4 linked regions of the Mus musculus genome follow. The protein of the gene in region 1 purifies or fractionates together with the protein of each later gene. This does not show direct contact. Links are inferred from orthologs where the notes say so. Each region holds a gene or a part of one and is shown in the gene's direction. Other genes may lie near its edges. The genes, in order: Isg15, Hspb1, Flnb and Vcp.

Region 1 (5,395 bases):
GCCTCCACTCACATCCTTCCTGCGCCCGCGGTCGCAGTGACGGTCGGGAGCAGAGCCAGGCTTGCACTGACGCGCGCTCGCCGCCCCTTCTCCAGCTTCCAGGACTTTTAGGTAGAGCCGCGCTTGAATCCGGTGTTCCGTTGTCCCTCGCTCGACTTTGCGGGTTTTGGCAGCGTTGCCCACTGGTCTGGGGTCCAGGTCCAGCTAGCGAGGGCTGAGACGCTCGCCCGGCTTTCCACGCTGTACCTGGCGCCCCGGTGCGCACCGCGTGGGCGAGCGCCTGCGACACCGAACCCGGAGGCCGAGCTCTGAGCGCTTAAATACGGCGGACGGGGGGGGGGGGGGGGGAGCGGCGGGGCTGTGAATCCTTCTCGACTTCAGTTCCCACACTCCTCCCAGCCAATGAAGAGCCAGCCTCCAGCCCGGCCTGCCGCCCGCCCTCTCCGGTTGTTACGCGTAGCCGATCTCCGGCTACGAAAGTGAACCCGACGACGTTGCATCCGAGAGGTCTCGGGTTAGAGTGGGCGGGGCGGGGGCTCCTGGCTCACTTAGTTTTGGAGAAGAAGCACCAGAGGGTATGGGAGGCAAGTCATGAGCACCTGGTAGGAAATCCAGAAGGATATTTCTCCAAAAACTAGAAAGCAAATCCTCAGGACTGTGAAGTCAGGACCCACTGAGGCTCCTCACACAGCCCTACCCAAGACCCGAGCAGGATCAAGACAGCCACTTGTCTCCTCAGCCGAACAGCATTTGCTCATGGGCAGCGTTGTTTCCAGCAAGGAGCCTGAAACTAACACAGAGGTCTGGGAACAAGCTTGGGTAGAAAGATGAACCAACACCAGACACCGAGACTAGAGAGGGGTCAACTGGTCCTGGTCACCTGATAAGTGACATCAACTGATATCACAGGGCAGCGGAAGGACGACTTCGTGCAGTGTAAGGATAAGGATATCAGTGGTGACAGAAACCAGATGGGATGATGTCATGGTGCCAGTGATGTATCCTGAATTACCCCACCGCTAAGTTCAGCCAAGAAGAACTCAAAAACTTAGGGCAAGTGAGGCACAGCCGCACGTGCCTTTAATGTAGCATTCAAGAGGCAGAGACAGAAAGAGCTCCGTGAGTTCGAGGCCTGCCTGGTCTACAGAGTAAGTCCCAGCACAGCCAGGGTTACATAGTGAGACCCTGTCTCAAAACACACACACACACACACCAAATTTTTTTTCCAAAGGAAAATAAGAAAAACAGGGCCATTATTATTTTAATGGTTGCTATTGTTTTCATTCTGAGTTACACTGCTATACATACAGACATTTTGTACTCAGGTTACTAAGCACAGCGTAGCCTGGCAGCTGCCTCCATTCAATGGAGGTGGCCTGAGACCACAGGAGGGGCTAGACACCCTACTGGTGGTCCTACTTCTTTAATTTTCTTTAAATATTGGGCTGGAAAGATGGCTATGTGGAAAGTGATTGAAGAAAACATTCAACATTAATCTCTGACATGTATAAGCACACATATGCATGCATATAAGCAAAATAAAGAAAGAAAGAAAATTTATATATTCAGTTCCTTCTTCTAAATTTCTAATTTCCTGCACTCACATATACACAATCCCCCCCCCCCAAATACACTGTATCCACATAATTAAAACTAAACCTTAAAAAAAAAAATCTAAGCCAGGCAGTGGTGGCACATACCTTTAATTCCAGCTCTTGGGAGGCAGAGGCAGGCAGATTTCTGAGTTTGAGGCCAGCCTGGTCTACAGTGTGAGTTACAGCCAGAAGGACAACCAGGGCTATACAGAGAAACCCTGTCTCAAAAAACAAAAAACAAACAAACAAAAAAAAAACAAAAAAAAAAAAACAAAAACAAAAACAAACCAAAAAAACAAAAACAAACAAACAAAAAAAAAACCAAAACTGAGTACTAAGTATATAACTCAATTGTTAGAGTACTTACTTAGCATGCATGAAGCTCTGGGTTCTGTTCCCAGAACTGCAGAAAATGGCACAGAAGATGAATCACTAAAATCTCAGAACATGAGCAGGAGAAACAGAAGGACCAGTTTAAGGCCAATTTTAAAGTGAGTTTGAAGCCAGCATGGACTACATAGCAAAGACTACTTCAAAAACAAACTCATCTGACTCAATGTATCTTGATGTGAGCAATACTTTGTTTGTTCTCTTGGCTTTTCAAGACAGAGTCTTGGTGCTTGTTCTGTAGACCAGGCTAGCCCTGAACTCAGACATCCACCTGCCTCTGCTTCCCCGGTGCTGGGATCAAAGGTGTGCGCCCTGGCCCAGCTACAATAGGGTCTTAATAAACTGTTCTAGGACAGAAATGCTTCCTACAAGCCCCTCCCCCCCAAAAAAAAACTATTGTTCTAAACTAATAACCAATAGCAGTTGTCTTTGGGCAATTCTGATTGGTACTATGTTATGCAGTTTCTGAATTATTATGCCATTTTCCAAGACAACTAATTTCCAAGCTAACAAACGACAAATACATTTTCTATTATTCGTTCCTATTCTGACTTTTACATGCCTTGTGAAGGACCTGAAGGGCGTTTAGGGAGTTTTAGAGCACACAGGCCTGGTTACAGCTTTGACCCTTGAGAGCCAGTCCCTTTCCTTCCCAACTACAGTTTCTTTTCATTCAGTTTTGGTTTTCCCACTCATTTAAGGTATGCCGTAGGAAAAGGAAACCGAAACAGAAAATAGCTCTGGTTTCTGGAAACTCCGCCTCTTCACACCCACAGCTCATACTTAAAAGAGTCGACCCAGTCTCTGACTCTGAGAGTCGATCCAGTCTCTGACTGTGAGAGCAAGCAGCCAGAAGCAGACTCCTTAATTCCAGGGGACCTAGAGCTAGAGCCTGCAGCAATGGTGAGTCCAATTTGGGACAGAGGCAGATGGGTTTCATTTTAGTTGACTTTACTCCATTCCTTGATAGGGTCTTCCAGAGACAGAATAGTCACAGTATGAGAACAGAATATAATTGTTTAAAGCTCACTCCTGGGGGGCGGGGGGGGGGCAGGTTCTTTTGCTCAGATACCAGCTCTAGATCCCTTAAGGCTGGGCCCAGAAGGCTATCTTTATGGGTGAACTGAAACAATGTGATGGTTGTGGGACCCTTTAGAACCGAGGCCTCCGTATCATATACCTGGATGGTTCCCCTAATAGAGGAGAGGATGGGGTGGGGGTGGGGGGGGACATGGATGGACGTGGGGGCTGGCCCTGTGACTGGTGCTTTGCATGTAGTAACTCCCAGCCAAAGTTGCTAAGCCGGTGGTTCTCAGCCAAAGGATTCAGGAACCTTTTGGGGGCCTGAATGACCTTCTGACAGGAGTCGCATATCAGATATCCTGCATATAGCAAAACCAGTTATGAAGTAGTGATGAAAGCAGTTTTATGGTTGGGGGTCACTACAACTCCAGGAGCTGTATTAAAGAATGGAAACATTTTATTAGAGTCATAGCATTAGGAGGGTTGAGAACCACTCCTAAATCCATGTGATGCTTGCAGGCCTGGGACCTAAAGGTGAAGATGCTGGGGGGTAACGATTTCCTGGTGTCCGTGACTAACTCCATGACGGTGTCAGAACTGAAGAAGCAGATTGCCCAGAAGATTGGTGTGCCGGCTTTCCAGCAGCGCCTGGCCCACCAAACTGCAGTGCTCCAGGACGGTCTTACCCTTTCCAGTCTGGGTCTGGGTCCCAGCAGCACAGTGATGCTAGTGGTACAGAACTGCAGCGAGCCTCTGAGCATCCTGGTGAGGAACGAAAGGGGCCACAGCAACATCTATGAGGTCTTTCTGACGCAGACTGTAGACACGCTTAAGAAGAAGGTGTCCCAGCGGGAACAAGTCCACGAAGACCAGTTCTGGCTGAGCTTCGAGGGAAGGCCCATGGAGGACAAGGAGCTGCTGGGGGAGTATGGCCTAAAGCCCCAGTGCACAGTGATCAAGCATTTGCGCCTGAGGGGTGGGGGAGGGGACCAGTGTGCCTAAGGCCCCCATCCAGAGCCAGTGTTGGTTATAAAAGATGATGGGGGGGGGGGTATGGAGGACTTTTGGGATAGCATTGGAAATGTAAACGAGGAAAATACCTAATTAGAAAAAATATCAAAAAAAAAAAAAGATGATGCAATAAAAAGCTCTGCCTCTTGTTTGCTTGTCCCTCTCCAGAAATGCCCTTCTATCCATGGTGAGAAGGCTCTGGGTTGCCAAGTTAAGAGACAAGGATTTCACAGTGAGAGCCTAGTGAGGAAATGCCCCTTCCAGACCCTTTGAGTAATTAATTCACTTCTGGAGAAAGACACTTTTGCTGGGACCCAGTCCTTAGTCTCAGCCAGGCCCTAAAAATGTCCCCATGTCTACATATGGCTCAGGGACAGGTTAGGCCAGTTTCTACCAGTAGCAGGATGAGGCTCCTAATGGAACCAGTGAACTGCTGAGATCCTTTGGGAACAGTGAAGGAATGTTCTTACCTGGGTAAGCTGTGAAGGAGGGTGATGTGTTCTTTTGTATGTGTTCCTAGTCCCACCTGCACTAGTTCACAGAGGGTAGGATGGGGTCTCACCATTCAAATCAGCCACCTGCTGTTTAGGACATGGTAGTTAGCAAGTACACCTCATCCTCATCGGGGCTATAAAGAGGCCACTATAGGCAGGTTAGATGGGCACAAGTAATTGGAGGCTCATCTGTCCACAAAGGACATCATGTCTCAGATAGGAGGCACCCAATTTGAAAAAGCTTCACCCCCCTTTCTGCCTGATGGCTCTTTGTCTTTTCCTCTATCAGCTTACTCGGGCCTTTGAGTGCGCTTAGGGCACAAGCAAGTCAGTACAAGTCCTTCTGTGGTCCTTCAGACCTTTAAGAGAATTTGAGTGGAACCTCAGAAGACCCCCTTCTGGTTGGTGTGTTTGTGCTTATCTGGATTAGGTGATGCCAGATCTAGCAACGCTGGAGCCCACTGTGTAGATGCGACCTCAAATCTGGGTCCAGAAGGTGGAGTCTTTCTCAGGAGGAAGAGCTGCTGACACTCACACTTCACTCTGGCTTCTGGCTCAACAGCCTATGGAAGATAGCATAGTGTCTTCTCTCGTTTTTTTTTTGTTTTTTTTTTTTTCCAAAATTTTTTTCTTCACTTACATTTCAAATGCTATCCAGAAAATCCCCTATCCCCCCCCCCCCCACCCATTCTCTCGGTTTGTTTGTTTTGTTTTTGGTTTTTTGAGACAGGGTTTCTCTGTGTAGCCCTGGCTGTCCTGGAACTCACTTTGTAGACCAGGCTGGCCTCGAACTCAGAAATCCACCTGCCTCTGCCTCCCGAGTGCGCCACCACCGCCCTGCGCGTTCTTTCAACCTCCTGTAGGTCTAGTGCTAGCTTGGCT
Region 2 (5,749 bases), on another chromosome or scaffold:
GTGAGAAGGGCTGAGAAGAGTATTCCTATTGCCATGAGCCCCCAGGCCAGGGTGCTCTTTGGTATGCTAATAGACACCACAGATAGCCCTTTGACCCCAGTTTCTTTTGTACTTAACACACAGCAACCCACATAAAAACTGAGGGTGGCCCCATGTGATGCTGCTTGCCTTTAAGCCGGGCTCTCTGGAGGAAGAGGCAGGCCAATCTGTGAGATCCAGGCCAGCTTAGTCTAAAGAGTTCTAGAACAGCCACAACCACACAGAAAACAAAACCAAAAAAGAGCTGAGTGTGGCCTGTGCCTCCTGTCCGAGCAAGCGCTGGGGTGGGGCAGTTGCAGAACCAGGAGGATACTAGGGGATACCTACTCATCCAGCTTGCAGGTTCCAGGTTCGATGTCTCCTGAGAGATGGTCTAATGGTTAGAGGCACTGCCTGCCCTTCCTATAGTACTGTCTTAGTCAGGATTTCTATTCCTGCACAAACATCATAACCAAGAAGCAAGTTGGGGAGGAAAGGGTTTATTCAGCGGACACTTTCCACATTGCTGTTCATCACCAAAGGAAGTCAGGACTGGAATTAAGCAGGTCAGAAAGCAGGAGCTGATGCAGAGGCCATGGAGGGATGTTTCTCACTGGCTTGCTTCCCCTGGCTTGCTCAGCTTGTTCTCTCGCTCTCTTTCTCTCTCTCTCTTTTTTTTTGGGGGGGGGTCTTTTCTAGACAGTGTTTCTCTGTATAGCCCTGGCTGTCCTGGAACTCACTCTGTAGACCAGGCTGGCCTCGAACTCAGAAACCCACCTGCCTCTGCCTCCCAAGTGCTGGGATTAAAGTCGTGCACCACCACCACCTGGCCCAGCTTGCTCTCTTATAGAACCAAGACTACCAGCCCAAGAATGGCTCCACCCACAATGCCCCCCCCCCCCCGATCTCTAATTGAGAAAATGCCTTATAGCTGGATCTCATGGAGGTATTTCCTCAAAGGAGGCTCCTTTCTCTGTGATAACTCCAGCTTGTATCAATTTGACACTAAACCAGCCAGTACAAGTATCCAGGTTCAAATTCTAGCACCCACCTGGCATTCCAATTTCTGATACTCTCTGTAACTCAAGATCTAACACTCTCACACAGACATTCATGTAGGCAAAACACTGATACACATTATATATATATATATATATATATATATATATATATATATATATATAATAAAAAAAAAAAGCGGCCGGGTGTGGTGGGGCACGCCTTTAATCCCAGCACTCCGGAGGCACGGGCAGGTGGATTTCTGAGTTCGAGGCCAGCCTGGTCTACAAAGTGAATTCCAGGACAGCCAGGGCTATACAGAGAAACCCTGTCTCGAAAAACCAAAAAAAAAAAAAAAAAAAAAAGCATCAAATAGCCCAGCGGTGGTGATGCACACCTTTAATCCCAGCACTTGGGAGGCAGAGGCAGGCGGGTTTCTGAATTCGAGGCCAGCCTGGTCTACAAAGTGAGTTCCAGGACAACCAGGGCTATGCAGAGAAACATTGTCTTCAGAAAAAAAAAAAAAAAAAAAAAAAAAAAAGCAAAGCAAAACAAAACAAAAAAAAAGCATCAAAATAAAAAAAGAAAAATCCTACTTCAGAGAGAGAGAGAGAGAGAGAGAGAGAGAGAGAGAGAGAGGAGAGAGGAGAGAGAAAGAGAGAAAGAAGAAAGAAAGTCAGTTTCTGGGTCAGAAAGATACTCAGTGAACACTAAGGCGCCTGCCACGAAGCCTTTGCTCCCCAGGAGATACACTATAGAAGACAGCTATCTTGCCGGTGTCATGAGACCTCCACAGGTGTGCCATGACATGTGTGTTCCCACGGGCCTCCTTCTGGTTCAGACCAGGTTCAGTTGCTTCCCAGTTGCGACACAAAAGACCTAACCTCTCCTGGTTATTCTCAATAAAAAATGGGGCTGGCCCCAGGCCACCGCCCTTCAGCCAGCAGTGTCCTAAACCCGACAGTGGGAATCGCTCCAGCTACCGGTATTACGCCGTCATTTGTTTTCTTCAACAAGAGAAGTTTCCAGATGGGGGCAGAACCTTCCTGGCCCCGCCTGCCCGCCCCCTTTGCAAGCTTAGGGGGAGGAATGCAGAGGGGAGGGGCGGCGAGGGGCGGCCCCTGAGACGGTCATTGCCATTAATAGAGACCTGAAGCACCGCCTGCTAAAAATACCCGGCTGGGCACACATAAAAGCACGCTGGGGCTCCAGTCCGGCACTTCTCGGATCCTCAGCCCAGTGCTTCTAGATCCTCAGCCTTGACCAGCCAAGAACATGACCGAGCGCCGCGTGCCCTTCTCGCTGCTGCGGAGCCCGAGCTGGGAACCATTCCGGGACTGGTACCCTGCACACAGCCGCCTCTTCGATCAAGCTTTCGGGGTGCCCCGGTTGCCCGATGAGTGGTCGCAGTGGTTCAGCGCCGCTGGGTGGCCCGGATACGTGCGCCCGCTGCCCGCCGCGACCGCCGAGGGCCCCGCGGCGGTGACCCTGGCCGCACCAGCCTTCAGCCGAGCGCTCAACCGACAGCTCAGCAGCGGGGTCTCGGAGATCCGACAGACGGCTGATCGCTGGCGCGTGTCCCTGGACGTCAACCACTTCGCTCCGGAGGAGCTCACAGTGAAGACCAAGGAAGGCGTGGTGGAGATCACTGGTGAGTTTCCCTTGTGCCCAGAGGGGACGAAGCTGCCGAGGCGAGAGTGGTGGCTGGGGGGCTGAGGGTGGGGGCTGAAACCCTGAGGAATAGAACCCTGAGAAGTTAGAAATGAACCTAGGGACCCGGAGCCCGCATCATTCTCCTTTGCCTGCTTCTCTTGCCCCGGAACGCGGGGTGCAGGTTGCTCTTAAAAGCTCTGTCATCTTCGATGATATGGACCAACAGCTGGGGATGTAGCTCAGGGTAGAGCTTCGCCTGGCCTGCCGGGAGGCCTTGAGGCTTTGCGTTCCACCCGCAGCACAGAAACAAAATGAAGGAAGACCCAACACACCTTCTGGAAGACCTCATTCCCAAATAAGCAAGCGGCAGGATCAGGGTCCCTAGACCCAGCCGCAGAGGCTTTGAGTATACCTACCCTGGTATCCAAGTCTGGGTCAGAGCCAAGCCCTTCGCATCCCAAATCTCAGAAGGGAAGTTTCTGGAAAGTTTTAAGATTCCAGACAGTCAGGCACCCCGCCGCACTCGGGTTTGTTTGCCTCCCTGGGGGGTCCCAGCCACTCCTTAGCTAGGACAGCAGAGGGCTGCTTCTGACCTTCTGTCCCCACCCACAGGCAAGCACGAAGAAAGGCAGGACGAACATGGCTACATCTCTCGGTGCTTCACCCGGAAATACACGTGAGTTCTGATTCCTTGCATGGAGGGCGGGGAGGTGGGGGGGAGGGGGAGCGGACCCAGGGCGGAGGGCGAAGAGCCCCGGGTCAGGAGGGATGTGTAACCCTTGCCCTGATTTTCTGTGTGTCCAGGCTCCCTCCAGGTGTGGACCCCACCCTAGTGTCCTCTTCCCTATCCCCTGAGGGCACACTTACCGTGGAGGCTCCGTTGCCCAAAGCAGTCACGCAGTCAGCGGAGATCACCATTCCGGTTACTTTCGAGGCCCGCGCCCAAATTGGGGGCCCAGAAGCTGGGAAGTCTGAACAGTCTGGAGCCAAGTAGAAGCCATCAGCCTGCTGCCTATCTCCCATAGCCATTGCTGGCCACCCCTCTCTGTCAATCTGTGCGCTCTTTTGATACATACATTTACCTGCTGTTTTTCTCAAATAAAAGTTGCAAGCTACTGCTCACCACCGTCTGACTCCAGAGTTATTATGGTGGGCTAGGGATGGGTGTGCTAAATTGGAACACCCTTTGGGGTCTTTGCTAAGTGCTCACTATGGGCTCAGGCCCTTCCTGTGGGAAAAGAGATAACCTGGAGATTAAAAGTTTACCAGGGGGGCTGGAAAGGTGGCTCAGCGGGTAAGAGCACTGACTGCTCTTCCGAAGGTCCTGAGTTCAAATCCCAGCAACCACATGGTGGCTCACAACCACCCGTGATGAGGTCTGACACCCTCTTCTGGTGCATCTGAAGGCAGTTACGGTATACGTACATATAATAATAAATAAATAAATCTTAAAAAAAAAAAAAAGTTTACCAGGCTGGGTATAATGATGGTATAATTACATCTCCTGTAATTCCAGTATCCAAAAACGGATGCAAAAGCAGTGTGAATTTGAAGCCAGCCTGGGCTACAGGGTGAGTTCTATGAGTGCCTGGGCCACACATGTACTTGCTGTCTCAAAAACAAACAGAAGAGCAAAACAAAACAGAAGCTCAGTAGAGGGTTTGCATGGCATCCGTGAAGTAATGTTTGATCCCCCGCATTGGATAAACTGGGTATGGTGGCGCCCTCCAGAAGTGGAGAAAGGATCAGAAAGGAGTTCAAGGTTATCCTGGGCTACATGGCTAGTTTGAGGCCAGCCTGGGACACATGAAAACATCTTTTTTTTTTTTTCACATGAAAATATCTTAAGAGTAAAAAAAAAAAAAAAAAAAGGATCAAGAGCCAGTCAGATCCAAAGCAACCCCCTCTCTCCCAGCCTCTGGTCCTGTTCTCTATGAACAGAGAAATTTACTTCTCCACTGTCCCTACTAGCATATCAAAGTGCAGGCTAGCCTCCAGGCTTCCTCCGTATTAGCCCAGCTCCTCTCCCACCCCCTACACTAACCTCAGCGCAGCTTCCCTCCCTAGCCTCTCTTTAACCTTCCTAGTTGACTGTACACCCTCTTTCCTCCCTTGGTCTGTCCACACTCTGCCTCACTCTCTCTCTTGCTCCCCCTCACCCCTACCTCATGGGCGGGTCCAGTCCACAGGCCGTGGCCAATCTGCTAATTTCTCTCCCTGCTCTGGACTCTTCCAGCTGCCTCTGGCTGGTCTCCTCCCCCTATATCTACAATAAAATCTTTCTCCTCAGCCGTGCCTTGCATGGGTCATGCCTTACTTTATACATCTCGTGCCGGGACCCTCAGTTTATGCCCTAGTTCACACCTGTACTCCCAGCATTTAGGAGGCATTAGGTTGCAAGATCAGGAGTTGAAGGACAGCCTTGGCTATATAGCACATTCCAAACCCAACTGTTTTGAAACTCTATCAATACCACAAAATAAACAAATACAAATTTAAAATACTATTAAAAACAGCATTGTCCAGAGGCCAGGTGTGGAGGAGGAGGAGTATTGTAGAGAAGGTACAGGAGATGTGGCAATTCAAGGTAGCTTCCTGGGGTGTTGCCCCTGTCAACCCCACCCACAGACACCTGCAGAACGGAATGTGGACTCTCAGTAATGGACAGAGAAGGAGGATTGGTGTTGACATCTCGGTCAAGACTGACAGAGATCACAGCATCCGCCTGCTCTAGAGAGCTTGCCTTGACTAGCCTCAGCCTCACTCAAAGCAATTACACAAGCTTTAGCTCCACCCTTGTGTGCTCTGCCTTGTCCATCCATCATCCCCCAGGAGGCCCAGGGAGGGAGCTGAGGGACCCCAGGGGGCTTTGGAGCCTAGTGACCCAGAGTCTAAGGGGTTGACTCTGGATGGGTGGCTCAATGGTTAGGAACACGGACTGATCTTTCGGAGGATCTGAGTTCAGATCTCAGCTCCCACATAGCTGGCTTCACAACCTCCTGTGACTCCAGCTCCAGGGGAGTTTATACCTCTGGCCTCCAAAGGCAAGCATGCAGGTGCACACATAACATATACATAA
Region 3 (6,216 bases), on another chromosome or scaffold:
AAGAGCACTGACTGCTCTTCCAGAGGTCCTGAGTTCAATTCCCAGCAGCCACATGGTGGCTCACAACCATCTCTAATGGGATCTGATGCCCTCTTCTGGTGTGTCTGAAGACAGCTAGTGTACTCATAGACATTAAATAAATAAATATACATACAATAAATAAATCTTGAGAAAAGAAAGAAAATGGGTGTATAAGGACTCTGTCTCGCCAACGTAATGTTGGCTATGAATTTGGTTACTGTTTGCTTATGAATCATCCCAGAGGTATTTTATGCACCGACAGGTAATTATATACACATATACAACCTGTATTTATATAGGACCAGAAGCTTTGCCCTATTGTTCTGTACTCGACTGTACGGTTGCATGGTCTAGTGACACCCTGTAGATAGCTGACGTTTCCCTCCAGGAGGAAGGGGTAAGTGAGCCAAGTTCTGTGTGGCAAAGGTCCCCCCACACCCACTCTCAGGAGTTCAATCTGGAGAGATAATTAGATCTGATGTTATGGACAAGGAAAATGGCAAGCAAACGAAAATGAAGTTAAGGATCCAGGTTCGCTCCCTGGGTGTATAAGGACTCAGAAAGCTAAGTCACTAAGATAAACTGTGAGGTGTTCTCCTAGTATTATTACTGTTTCTTCCATACCAAAGGAAAGTATAAAAGCTGGAATGAGAGCAGACACTGGGAGCCTGAACCAGCAGAGGTCAGTGACAAGAGCTTCCTTATAAGGCAGGAAGGACTGTTGGGCTTTCTAGTATCAATCTCCTTGGATTGATATGTTTGCAGTTAATTGCTTTGTGGAAATGAGTAGAGCAAACACCCCACCCAGGGCAGGGACAGGATGTAGATTCTTCAGGCCTGAAATGTCAGGCTGTAGGTCTCACACGATGGGTGTCCCACACCCCAGTTGATTCTGCATGCAGGATGAAGGCTGCCCCCCTCAGTCTGCAAGCACACATCCATCCATTCACCCACTCACTCATCTGTCGTCTACATCTCATATGGCAATTCTACACCAGGTACTCAGCTGTAGTTGAGATCACTCTAGACCTCTTGCTGGGGTATGCAGACCAGCATGGAACAGATATCATTCATGTCAGACACGTATCTTCAGTTTCTTCGAGACCTTAGATCTCCATCTGCTCCTCGACACTGGGGGGCCAGGGGGGAGACAGCCAAGCTGAGCTGAGGGCTACCAGGCTTGGGATGTGGAGAGAAAGGAACTGAATTCTCAGGCAAAGGGAAGAGAAGAGGGACACCGGTCAGTAGGTGCCATGACCCATTTATCCGGCCCTTTCTTGGCCATCATAGTTAAAAAAAATAAAACATAACAAGATCTTCTGGACTAATCAATTTGCCTAATACAGTCAACAGGGTCTTCAAGAGAGTTCTAGGAAGACCTGACTATGGAGAACTGAGGAGATGACAGGGTGAAAAAGGTATCTGTGCCTTGTTTTACCGGCTTTGAAGACAAGAAAGGCATCGTAAGCCAACACATGCACCTAGCGTCTAGAATCTGGCACGGCAAAGGAGCAGATTATTTCCCAGAAGCTCCAGCAAGAAATGCCTTGGGCCAATGAACCCCAGACGGGACATCTAACTTACTGACATGCAAGACAGGAAATCTGTGTTACACCAGCAAAAAACTTCTAATAGCCATAGAAAACAGTTCGTTTTCACTACTGCTACTCAGATGGACGTGGTATTGGACTTTAAGGCTGAGTTCCTTTTCTTTCTTTCTTTTTTGTTTTGTTTTGTTTTGTTTTTGTTTTTTCGAGACAGGGTTTCTCTGTGTAGCCCTGGCTGTTCTGGAACTCACTCTGGAGACCAGATTGGCCTCGAACTCAGAAATCCGCCTGCCTCGGCCTCCCAAGTGCTGGGATTAAAGGCATGCGCCACCACGCCCAGCTCTGAGTTCCTTTTCATTTAGAAATCAACGTGTCTAATTTACGTGCAGACTCTGAGAAAAACACTTTCCTCTCACTGAACCTATAGATGGGTGGCATATTCCCTCTTGACGCAACCATTCCTTCTAGGCTAGTCCCCCGCCTCCTCGTGTGCCCTTATTCTAGGCCTTTCCCAAGTTACTTTCTCCTTGCTGGGCAGTACATCAGGTTGGGGATACTTAGGAAGCACCACCCCACCCTACCCTCCGGCGTAATGCAGGCTTTGGACCGTAGAGGGCGAGCGCAGCTAAGGAGTTCGCTTCTATAGGGTAGAAACGGGGCGGAGCCTCGGGGGCGGGGCGGCGTAGCGCGCAGGCGCCAGGCCAGGCTACTTCGCGCCCGGGGACGGACGAAGGCAGTCCTGATCCTGTTGCGGCTAGTATAGCAGCGCTTTCTAACCCTCTCCCCACTTGCCTCAGTTCCCCTTCCCCGGGCCCTTGGGGCTTTTCATCTCAGTCCCTGCAGCTCGTTGTTTCCGCGTACTCTCTGCCTCCAGGATGCCGGTGACGGAGAAAGACCTGGCGGAGGACGCGCCGTGGAAGAAGATTCAGCAGAACACGTTCACGCGCTGGTGCAACGAGCACCTCAAGTGTGTGAATAAACGCATCGGGAACCTGCAGACCGACCTGAGCGACGGGCTACGGCTCATCGCGCTGCTCGAGGTGCTCAGCCAGAAGCGCATGCACCACAAGTACCATCAGCGGCCCACCTTCAGACAGATGAAGCTGGAGAATGTGTCTGTGGCTCTGGAGTTCCTAGACCACGAAAGCATTAAGCTCGTGTCCATTGGTGAGTGTTGTGGCCAGGCCCTAAATTTGCAGTAATCGGGGGGTATCCGGCAGCGCGCCCCACTGCGCATCGCTTCCCGGGTGTGAGGGAGGGGGAGATGGTCCTGGGATGAGGACCTAGGAACATAGGCCTTTCCGCGGTGCCATCTGTGGGCTGGGACCTGGCGTGATTGCTCGACACGGTGCTCCTGGCGGTGCCGCTGCAGTGTTGGGGTGGGTTAAGCACTCAGACCTTCCAGTCACACCTGGAATTTAATTTGCGGGAACTCCTGGGATTGCTGGGGAAATCGTCTGCTGACCCTAATGACAACGCCGTGGACTCAAGTACCAAATCCCTACTTTACGCTAGCCAGGTGCGCCTAGAGCTGAGTGACCCGCCCGGCTGAAAGGGCGTTGGCTTCGAGTCTGGGCGTGGAGACCTAGGACGCGACCGCGACCGCTCTCTTGCTTAGGATCTCACCACCTAGGTGGAGACGAGGACCTGAGACCCTCCCCTTCTTAGACCGGAATGGGTGTGGGCTCTGAGGTTGGAAGGGGCGTCACAGGGGAATGTCCTCACTTCCTAGCTCTGGCTCAGCGCTGGCCGGTTCCTTCAGGTTGAGATAATTTAGTGGTTGATAATAATTAATGTGTGTAGAAAAGGGCTTGACTGGCGCTGGCTGTGTGGCTCTCTGAGTTATTGACGTCCGGTGGCCTGAGATGTTCTTAGGCCCATTTTACAGAAGAGGGGACGTTTACCGGGCTAATTGACGTTCCCAGGGCCACCTCCAATGTGGTCCAACTTAGAAGTAAAGCAGTCCCCACCCCCTTTTCCTGGGTCTTCCTGAGAGAGTTTGAGTCCTGCTTTTTTCCTCCCGCCTTGGGTGAGAGAATTAAGACCTCGAGTACTTTAGGCTTCTAAAGAGAAAACAGGGCTCTTGAGAATGTGTTTTGTGATGGACAAGGGAGGTGTGTATTATGCCCGGGCTCACTTGTTTGCCCCCGTAGGCATTCGTGTGTGCACATATAGCATCTATTTATGAAAGTTTTTTTTTTCCGTACACAGTGGGTGTGCAAAGTATTATGTAGAGGATGTGTGCACTTCGTGAAAGGGATTCTTAGGGCTGAGGTTTCTTCCTGAGGAAGCAAGGCCATTCTAGTGACTCCAGTGACAGAAAGGAAGGAAGGTGGGTGTGGCTTCTGGGACTTTCTCTAGTGGAAAGGGGTTCCCTCTGGACTGAGCCTCCTCCTGGCCTCGCCCTGGACTTTCCCCACACCTGTGCTGGCAGGTAGATGCGCTTGCTACTTCCTGGGGCCAGGCCGCTAGCTACCAGCCTGCCTCCCAGCAAGCTCTCCCTCCCAGGGGTGGGTTCTCAGTGGAGGAAGCTGCCAGGGGTGCATCACATGGGGGGTGGGCATCTCTTTTATTGAGGAGGGAGGACCTCAGAATTCTACAGGAACTCTACTTTCCTATGAAGAGTGATTTTCAAAGCCTGCCTGGCTGAGCTGGACTTGCCTTCATCCATTGTTTTAAATGCTATATGTATTTCATTAACTCAACAAAGAAAATTAAATTAAACCAGGAGTTAAACCTGACAGAACTGCTTTTAGAAGAAGAAGAAGGAGAAGGAGGAGGAAGAGGAGGAGGAGGAGGAGGAGGAGGAGGAAGAGGAAGAGGAGGAGGAGAAGGAGAAGGAGAAAAGAAAGAAAAGAAATCACAGCCCCAGAAAATCAAGGACTTCCTAATTGACTAGCTGTTTACTCGTGGGCTGCTGCTCCCAGCCATGCTCCTCCAAGCTTGTGGGTCTCATTCTGGCCTTGCCTGGTGGTCCCTCACAGTTTTCTAATTGGTCCTCATGATTTCCACTCGAACCTGCTGAGGCCTGAGCCCCCCATTGCCTAACATCTCACAGTTATCTTCCATTCATCTGTTACCCATGGCCAGCTGTGTCAGTAGTCCTTCACAAGTTGTACTGTTTGATTTGTCTCTTTAAAATACTTCTTGGATCATATTCCCCAGAGTAGTATTCCTAGGTTAGAGGGTGTGACCACATACAACTCCTCCCTAGCCTCCCTATTGCTTTCCAGAAAGATCTCTCAGCAAACAGGTTTTCCAGCCTCTGGAGACCTATCCATCTTGCCAGGGGCCCAGACTGCTGCAGGAAGAAATGGAGCCTAGGCCTAGGGATAGATGTCATAGGTAATGACCAGCCCAAAAAAAATGTCATCTGGCTTGGACCTTGGTTCGCGTGTGTTGTCTTGTGCTTGCCATGACAGTTTTTACTAGGGCCACCCACTGTATGTTCTGTTGACTGTTCCCATTGAATAGCCAGGATAATCAATCAATTGATATCAATTAATGTCCTTCTGATAATGATCTTCTCTAACAGTCCCCTAGAGGGTCAGGCAGGGGTTGAGTTCTGTCCTAGGCTGCCACATGTTACTTAGAAAGCAGTTGCTGTTGTTAATGATGCTGTTGTTAGTATTAGTGTTTCCTACTTAAAAAGACAGGAAACAGAAATGAACCAAATTCTAGAGGCAACAGGGCTAGGAAGCCCACGGAGCCCAGAATGCATGATTGCCAAGCTATTGAATTTGAACTTCGAGTGGATTTCTTTCTAGTGTCAGAGAGCCAATACAGCCTCCCTTCCTCTTCCCTGCATAGAAGGGTTGGTAGAGCTTACTTACACTTTGCAGTTCCAGGGTGTTGAAGCTGGATATCCACAGTCTGAACCTTAGCCTCAGACGCAGTAGGTAGGGATCATGGGGGTCTTTGATGAGAGAGAGGCAAGATTAATCCTCTGAGCTGTGATGACATCTCCTGGAATTAAATGTTGTAACTGTCAGGAGGTGTTTTGTCTTGCGGTTGGTTGACTGTTGAGGAATAGCTGCTGTCTCCATTGGTGGCGTTTTATTGAGCATTCTTGTTCTCCGGGGGCTCATGTTTACTCCATAACGGGGGATGCTTATTGGATGAATTCAGAGCATCGCTGTACACCGTGGCTAACGCCCAACAGTTTACACTGTGAGAACCTTTAGAATCATGTCCGTAAACCCAGCTGTGAGACATGAGATGGTCAGCAGCTGCCAGAGGCCAGTGACATATCTGCCAATAACTTCTGAAAGACAGCCATGGCTATTTGTTTGCTCACATTTGTGGTTTATCAGAAGTTGGTCCCACCCTAGGCGCTATCCCAACATTGAGAGTTTTGTTTAGTTTCCTATGTCTTGAGCAGTTCGCAGAGAGGCTCAGCCTGCCTGGTTACAGGGTTTTTGTCAGGAGTTGGCAGTATTATTTACTTGTTTTCTCCACAAATCTTTCTGACTTTTGGGCAGCCCAGCTTACTTTGGAAAGAAAAGAAGTCTCCAGGCCCAAGAATGACAATTGAGGCTGCTAGAAATTTGGGTAATCTATTATGGTTTGGTCCTCTGAAAAAGGATTTTCTTCTTCCCCGTTTACAAGATGCAGCTGACGCTGATGCACAGGGTCAACCTAGGCACTG
Region 4 (5,767 bases), about 110 Mb from region 1:
CCAATCCATCTGTCTTCAAACTCATAGATAGATAAGCCTTTAATCCCAGCACTTGGGAGGCAGAGGCAGGCAACTATCTATGAGTTTGGGTTTTTTTGTTTTTGTTTTTTTGTTTGTTTTTCGACTCAGGGTCTCTCTGTATAGCCCTCGCTGTCCTGGAACTCACTTTGTAGACCAGGCTGGCCTCGAACACAGAAATCCGCCTGCCTCTGCCTCTATGGATGTGTTTTTATCCTCTTATGTATCTCTTTTTACTGTATGTTCTTTGTTTTGTGCCTGGTATTCTTGTGATACTAGGAGATGCTCTAGGTTCATCAGGTTTATTTGGGGGTGGGGGGGCGGTGGATACGGCTAAGAATTGTGTTCTGTTGTTCTGAGGCTTGCTTGGTTAAGCATAGTCTCTTAATTCCCTTGGAAAACAGGCAGTAAGAGAAGAACTTAAGGGCTGGAGATACGGCTCAGTGGTTAAGAGCACTGACTGCTCTTCCAAAGGACCTGAGTTCAAATCCCAGCAACCACATGATGACTCACAACCATCAGTAATGAGATCTGATGCCCTCTTCTGGAGTGTCTGAAGACAGCTATAGTGTACTTACATATAACATATAAATCTTTTAAAAAAAAAACTTCTTTAAAGCTCTAGAATTGATCATGATGATCATGTATGAGACATTATGAAAACATTTACATTTTTTTTGTCTCAAAATGTAAGAATGAATATTGAGAGGTCTTACAGTCTCCATTTTACAAATGAAGAAATCAAAGTCCAACCAGGTTAATTAACTTAAGTGAGATCACAATTAAGTATGGTCAGAGTTGGAATTTAGACCTAATTGGTCTTGTTGTAGAGCCCTGTTCTGTAGAGTCTAAGAGTCTATAAGACTAATTTTTTTTTATTGGTTGCTTTTGAGCCTTTACTTTTGTTATATCTTTTAATATTCTTTGGCCAGTTTCCCTATGTTGGCATAGGATCCCTGGGGCTAACAGATTGGAATAGCAGCACTCAAAATACTAAGATGTGGAATGGGAATGAAATAAATGCTGGCTACGTTCATCATGAGTTTATCTGGATTTCTTTTAGCTTTGTCTATCCATTCTTTCCTTAGTGAATCTTAGTGTTGGTGGTCAGTATCTATTAGGTCTAACTTTAGTTTTTCCTTCTAGTTCAAAAGGTGATGATTTATCAACAGCCATTCTCAAACAGAAGAACCGACCCAATCGGTTAATTGTTGATGAAGCCATCAATGAAGATAACAGCGTGGTGTCCTTGTCCCAGGTAAGTTGGGTGTCCGGTCCAGTCTTTACTTAAGTAGAGAGATTTTCCGGCTTTCTTTTGCCATTTTTCTTGCAGTGAGGGATAAAGTGGGGTTTATATGGAATTCTAGCCTATCTAACGGTCAGTGACCCAAAGTCCTTAGCCTTTGGTTTTTCTTTCTTAGCCCAAGATGGATGAACTGCAGTTGTTCCGAGGTGACACGGTGTTGCTAAAAGGAAAGAAAAGACGGGAAGCTGTATGCATTGTTCTTTCTGATGACACGTGTTCTGATGAGAAGATTCGAATGAATAGAGTTGTTCGGAATAACCTCCGAGTTCGCCTAGGAGATGTCATCAGGTTTGTATGAAAGTGGGAGATATAGATCCTTGGTCTCTTAGAAATGAGACCAGAACCGGGCAGTGGTGGCGCACGCCTTTAATCCCAGCACTTGGGAGGCAGAGGCAGGCGGATTTCTGAGTTCGAGGCCAGCCTGGTCTACAGAATGAGTTCTAGGACAGCCAGGGTTACACAGAGAAACCCTGTTTCTAAAAAAAAACCAGTAAATAAATAAATGAATAAATAAATATTTAAAAAAGGGAAATGAGACCAGATAGAATCTGCATTATAGACACCGTCTCCCCCCTGCATTGCAACCAGGATGGAATTCTAGGCAGCTGCAGAAATAAATGCACATGGTCATGGGAATATTTCCAGGGTTGTGTGTAGGTTGCACTGCCTTTCTAGACTTGAGACTCCACCCCTGCACGGTCCTTAGGACAAATGGCTTGCTAGCTAGCTTCCTTCCTTCCTTTTTTTTTAAGATTTATTTATTTCATTTATATGAGTACACTGTCCACTGTCTTCAGACACATCAGAAGAGGGCATTGGATCCCGTTACAGATGTGGTTGTGAGCCATCATGTGATTGCTGGGAATTGAACTCAGGACCTCTGAAAGAGCAAGCAGCCAGTGCTCTTAACTGCAGAGCCATTTTCCAGCCCACATATGGCTTTCTTGATGCCTTTTAAAATGTTTTTCCAACTGGGGAGTATAATTCCTCATAACTGGATTGGAGACGTTATATGAGGATATATAGCTACTAAATGATACACAGATGTATCTACACTATATCTAATGATCATAATGCTGTGACTGCTTAATGGCTTGTAATGGTGCTGAAATAAAGTAGAAATGTGAATAGGAAGGAATTCTTTTAAAAATAAGTAAACCTGGGGCTGGAGAGATGGCTCAGCAGTTAAGAGCACTGACTGCTCTTCTGGAGGTCCTGAGTTCAAATCCCAGCAACCACATAGTGGCTCGATACCATCTGTAATGGGATCTGATGCCCTCTTCTGGTGTGTCTGAAGATAGCTACAGTGTACTTAGATATATAATAAATAAATCTTTAGAAAAAATAAAATAAAAAAAATAAGTAAACCTAATCCTGGCTTGGTGGTGGTGCATACCTTTAATTCCAGCACTTGGGTGACAGAGACTGGTGAGTCTCTGAGTTCAGGCTAACATGGTTTGTATAGTGAGAGCCTGTCTCCAAAAGGCAAAACAGATAATAAACCTAGTGGGGAGGAGCATAGTTTATAATTTGACTAGGACTGCTGTGGTATGAGTGATTTTTGGTTGTACCCAGTTAGGTATGAGGCTTCCAGAATTTGTAGTTATCTGGCCAGGACTATTCAGTCTCTGAAATCTTTTTAATGAAGTCTTACTATGTTTTAAGTACTTTCTTCTTTAGACTACCTAGCTTTCTCATGGTGTTTTGATACTGTAGTTGAGTTCCCCCACCCCCACCCCAAGACAGGGTTTCTCTGTGTAGCCCTGGCTGTCCTGGAACTCACTCTGTAGACCAGCCTGGCCTCGAACTCAGAAATTTGCCTGCCTCTGCCTCCCAAGTGCTGGGATTAAAGGCATGTGCCGCCACTGCCCGGCCAGAGATTATTAATTTTTGATTGAGTTGTAAAACCTTGTTCCCCCTCCTCCCGGTAATACTGGAATATTAATATTAACTAGAAGACTAGACATGGTAGCACATACTACTTATTCACAGTAATCTCAGTTCTGAGAGACAGGAGATGGTTGACACTAGCTAGAAAGGATTATCATTGTTGAATCTTCCGTATTGAAGACTCCAGTGGTAGTACCGTGCATATGTGGGGCTTCCAAGTATTCTTAATTTTGGCTTAGTAATGGGGGGGCTTCTGCTACCTCATCGTGAATGTGACCTGTCTTAGTGTGCTTGGCTGCTCCTTTGCCTTCTCTCCCACCCTGCTTTCCTCCTCCTCTTCACCTAAGGCCATCCCTGCCTTTTCTCTTTCGCTTGCCATCAGCTGTCTGTGCCAGGCCCTTTCGGACACCCAGTGCTTGGGGCTGCAGTGTGGTTGGTAATGTGGAGTCTGCTTGTCATCCTCAGCATCCAGCCATGCCCTGATGTAAAGTATGGCAAACGTATCCACGTTCTACCCATCGATGACACAGTGGAAGGCATCACTGGCAATCTCTTTGAGGTATACCTTAAGCCGTACTTCCTGGAAGCTTATCGGCCCATCCGTAAAGGTGAGAGAAACTGAGTTTAAGAACAGTTGTTACTTGAGTAAACTTTGGAACAATTCCATGTTATTTTCCTATATAGATATAGCCTGCACACATATTCAGTTGTCTGCTCTCTTACCTCCCTTCAGTGCTCTAGGATAGTAAGCAGTTCTCATGCCTCTCTGAAGGATAATGTGGTTGCTGTCAAGTTGAAAGTGTACAGCTCTACCATTGTTGGTTGTAGTGAAAGCTTAGGCTGTTTATAACAGGAGTATAATACAGAGTTGTTTTTTAGTATTGCCTGGGGTAGGGAAGGAAGGCATAAGTAATAGCTACTGAGCTTTGTATTTTAGATCATGCGGTCTAGTGAAGAAGTTTCTGGTCCTGTACTTGACACCTCTAATTGCACTTGTATTGCTTTGTATTATAGGAGATATTTTTCTTGTCCGGGGTGGGATGCGTGCTGTGGAGTTCAAAGTTGTAGAGACAGATCCCAGCCCTTACTGTATTGTTGCTCCAGACACAGTGATCCACTGTGAGGGGGAGCCAATCAAGCGAGAGGTGAGTTACTCCCTAATCCCAGTTCACGGTTTTATTTGGCTTTTTATTTGTGGTGCTGAGACTTGAACCCAGGGCCTTGTGCATGTTAGGTAAGTACTCTGCCCCTGAATTACATCCTCATCTCCCAAATCATTACCACTCAGGTAGTATTCATGTTGTGTATCAAAATGAATACTTTTGGAGATTGGATGGCCTTAAATTAATGGAAGTCGAAAACCACCTAAGAATTTCTTGAAAGAACCCAATCCCATGAGTTTAAGATGAAGTCTGAAAGATGTAAATGATTGGCACTGAGTGTGGTGGCATATGCCAATAATCCTAATGCTTAGGAGGTGGAGGTGGGAATATTGTTTTAAGTTTGAGTCTAGAATGATGGTCTCTGAAGTGATGGGCTGTGGTTTGGTGGTTAAGAGCACTGGCTGGGGGCTGGTGAGATGGCTCAGTGGGTAAGAGCACCCGACTGCTCTTCCGAAGGTCCGAAGTTCAAATCCCAGCAACCACATGGTGGCACACAACCACCCGTAATGAGATCCGATGCCCTCTTCTGGTGCATCTGAAGACAGCTACAGTGTACTTTACATATAATAAATAAATAAATACATTTAAAAAAAAAAAAAAAAAAGAGCACTGGCTGTTCTTCAAGGGGACCTGGGTTCAATTCCCAGCACTCACATGGCTATATTTGATCATGTTCCTATCACACTCCACTTCCTTTTGTTTGTTTTTGAGACAGGGTCTCACTATGTTATTCTGTCTGGCCTGGAACTCACAGTGATCTGCCTGCTTTTGCCTCCCAAGATGGAATTAAAGGCATGTGCCACTGTGTGCAAAATTCTACTGATCCCCCTCAAAGGTCTCCCTATTCTCATAACTTTTTTTTCAAACCTTTATTTACATGAATGGGTAGTGTACATACGTGTGTGTCTATACGCCATGTCCATGTTGGCTCCCCTGAGACCTGAGTTACAGACAGTTGTGAGCTGTCATGTGGGTACTGGGAATTGAACTCACGTCTTCTGGAAGAGCAACCAGTGCTCTTAACCCCTAAGCCATCTCTCCAGCACCCCCCCCCCCTTTTGGTGGCCCACTCAGTTTATTTAGAATTGATCATGTAGGGGGGAGGTTATTGAACAGCTATAGCTTACCAGTGGCTATACCACCACTAAGGAATATTCTGTATTCCAGCTCCTCAGTGCCAGACTGCTTGTCTGGCACACACCAACCACTCGGGAGGTAGAACTCAGTCTGGTTTTTTCCAAATGGAAAACAGTGGAGTTTGGAACTACTGCTGTGGTTTCTGGTCTCCTGTGTACCCAGGCACCACTGGTGTGCCACATCCACTTGCCAGGCAGGAAGGGGAAGGCAGCACCTGGGATGGGTGGAACCCAGTTTGATCCTGAATGAGTGC

Evidence for each region.
Region 2: the proteins of Isg15 (region 1) and Hspb1 purify together in Homo sapiens (affinity purification with mass spectrometry; 3 studies listed by BioGRID, with this or other methods). This does not show direct contact. The link is inferred for Mus musculus from reciprocal best matches to the Homo sapiens genes ISG15 and HSPB1.
Region 3: the proteins of Isg15 (region 1) and Flnb purify together in Homo sapiens (affinity purification with mass spectrometry; 3 studies listed by BioGRID and IntAct, with this or other methods). This does not show direct contact. The link is inferred for Mus musculus from reciprocal best matches to the Homo sapiens genes ISG15 and FLNB.
Region 4: the proteins of Isg15 (region 1) and Vcp purify together in Homo sapiens (affinity purification with mass spectrometry, with the first as the bait; 3 studies listed by BioGRID). This does not show direct contact. The link is inferred for Mus musculus from reciprocal best matches to the Homo sapiens genes ISG15 and VCP.

What each region holds. Positions count from the first base shown.
Region 1 is NC_000070.6:156,198,199-156,203,593, reverse strand, and holds Isg15 (ubiquitin-like protein ISG15), read left to right. Parts: upstream 1-2,775; 5' UTR 2,776-2,885; coding exon 2,886-2,888; intron 2,889-3,527; coding exon 3,528-4,010; 3' UTR 4,011-4,170; downstream 4,171-5,395.
Region 2 is NC_000071.6:135,885,767-135,891,515, forward strand, and holds Hspb1 (heat shock protein beta-1), read left to right. Parts: upstream 1-2,152; 5' UTR 2,153-2,292; coding exon 2,293-2,668; intron 2,669-3,282; coding exon 3,283-3,346; intron 3,347-3,474; coding exon 3,475-3,664; 3' UTR 3,665-3,797; downstream 3,798-5,749. UniProt on the Homo sapiens protein: Small heat shock protein which functions as a molecular chaperone probably maintaining denatured proteins in a folding-competent state. Plays a role in stress resistance and actin organization.
Region 3 is NC_000080.6:7,815,709-7,821,924, forward strand, and holds the start of Flnb (filamin-B), read left to right. Parts: upstream 1-2,248; 5' UTR 2,249-2,443; coding exon 2,444-2,735; intron 2,736-6,216. UniProt on the Homo sapiens protein: Connects cell membrane constituents to the actin cytoskeleton. May promote orthogonal branching of actin filaments and links actin filaments to membrane glycoproteins. Anchors various transmembrane proteins to the actin cytoskeleton.
Region 4 is NC_000070.6:42,991,741-42,997,507, reverse strand, and holds part of Vcp (transitional endoplasmic reticulum ATPase), read left to right. Parts: intron 1-1,164; coding exon 1,165-1,276; intron 1,277-1,439; coding exon 1,440-1,612; intron 1,613-3,679; coding exon 3,680-3,822; intron 3,823-4,228; coding exon 4,229-4,359; intron 4,360-5,767. UniProt on the Homo sapiens protein: Necessary for the fragmentation of Golgi stacks during mitosis and for their reassembly after mitosis. Involved in the formation of the transitional endoplasmic reticulum (tER).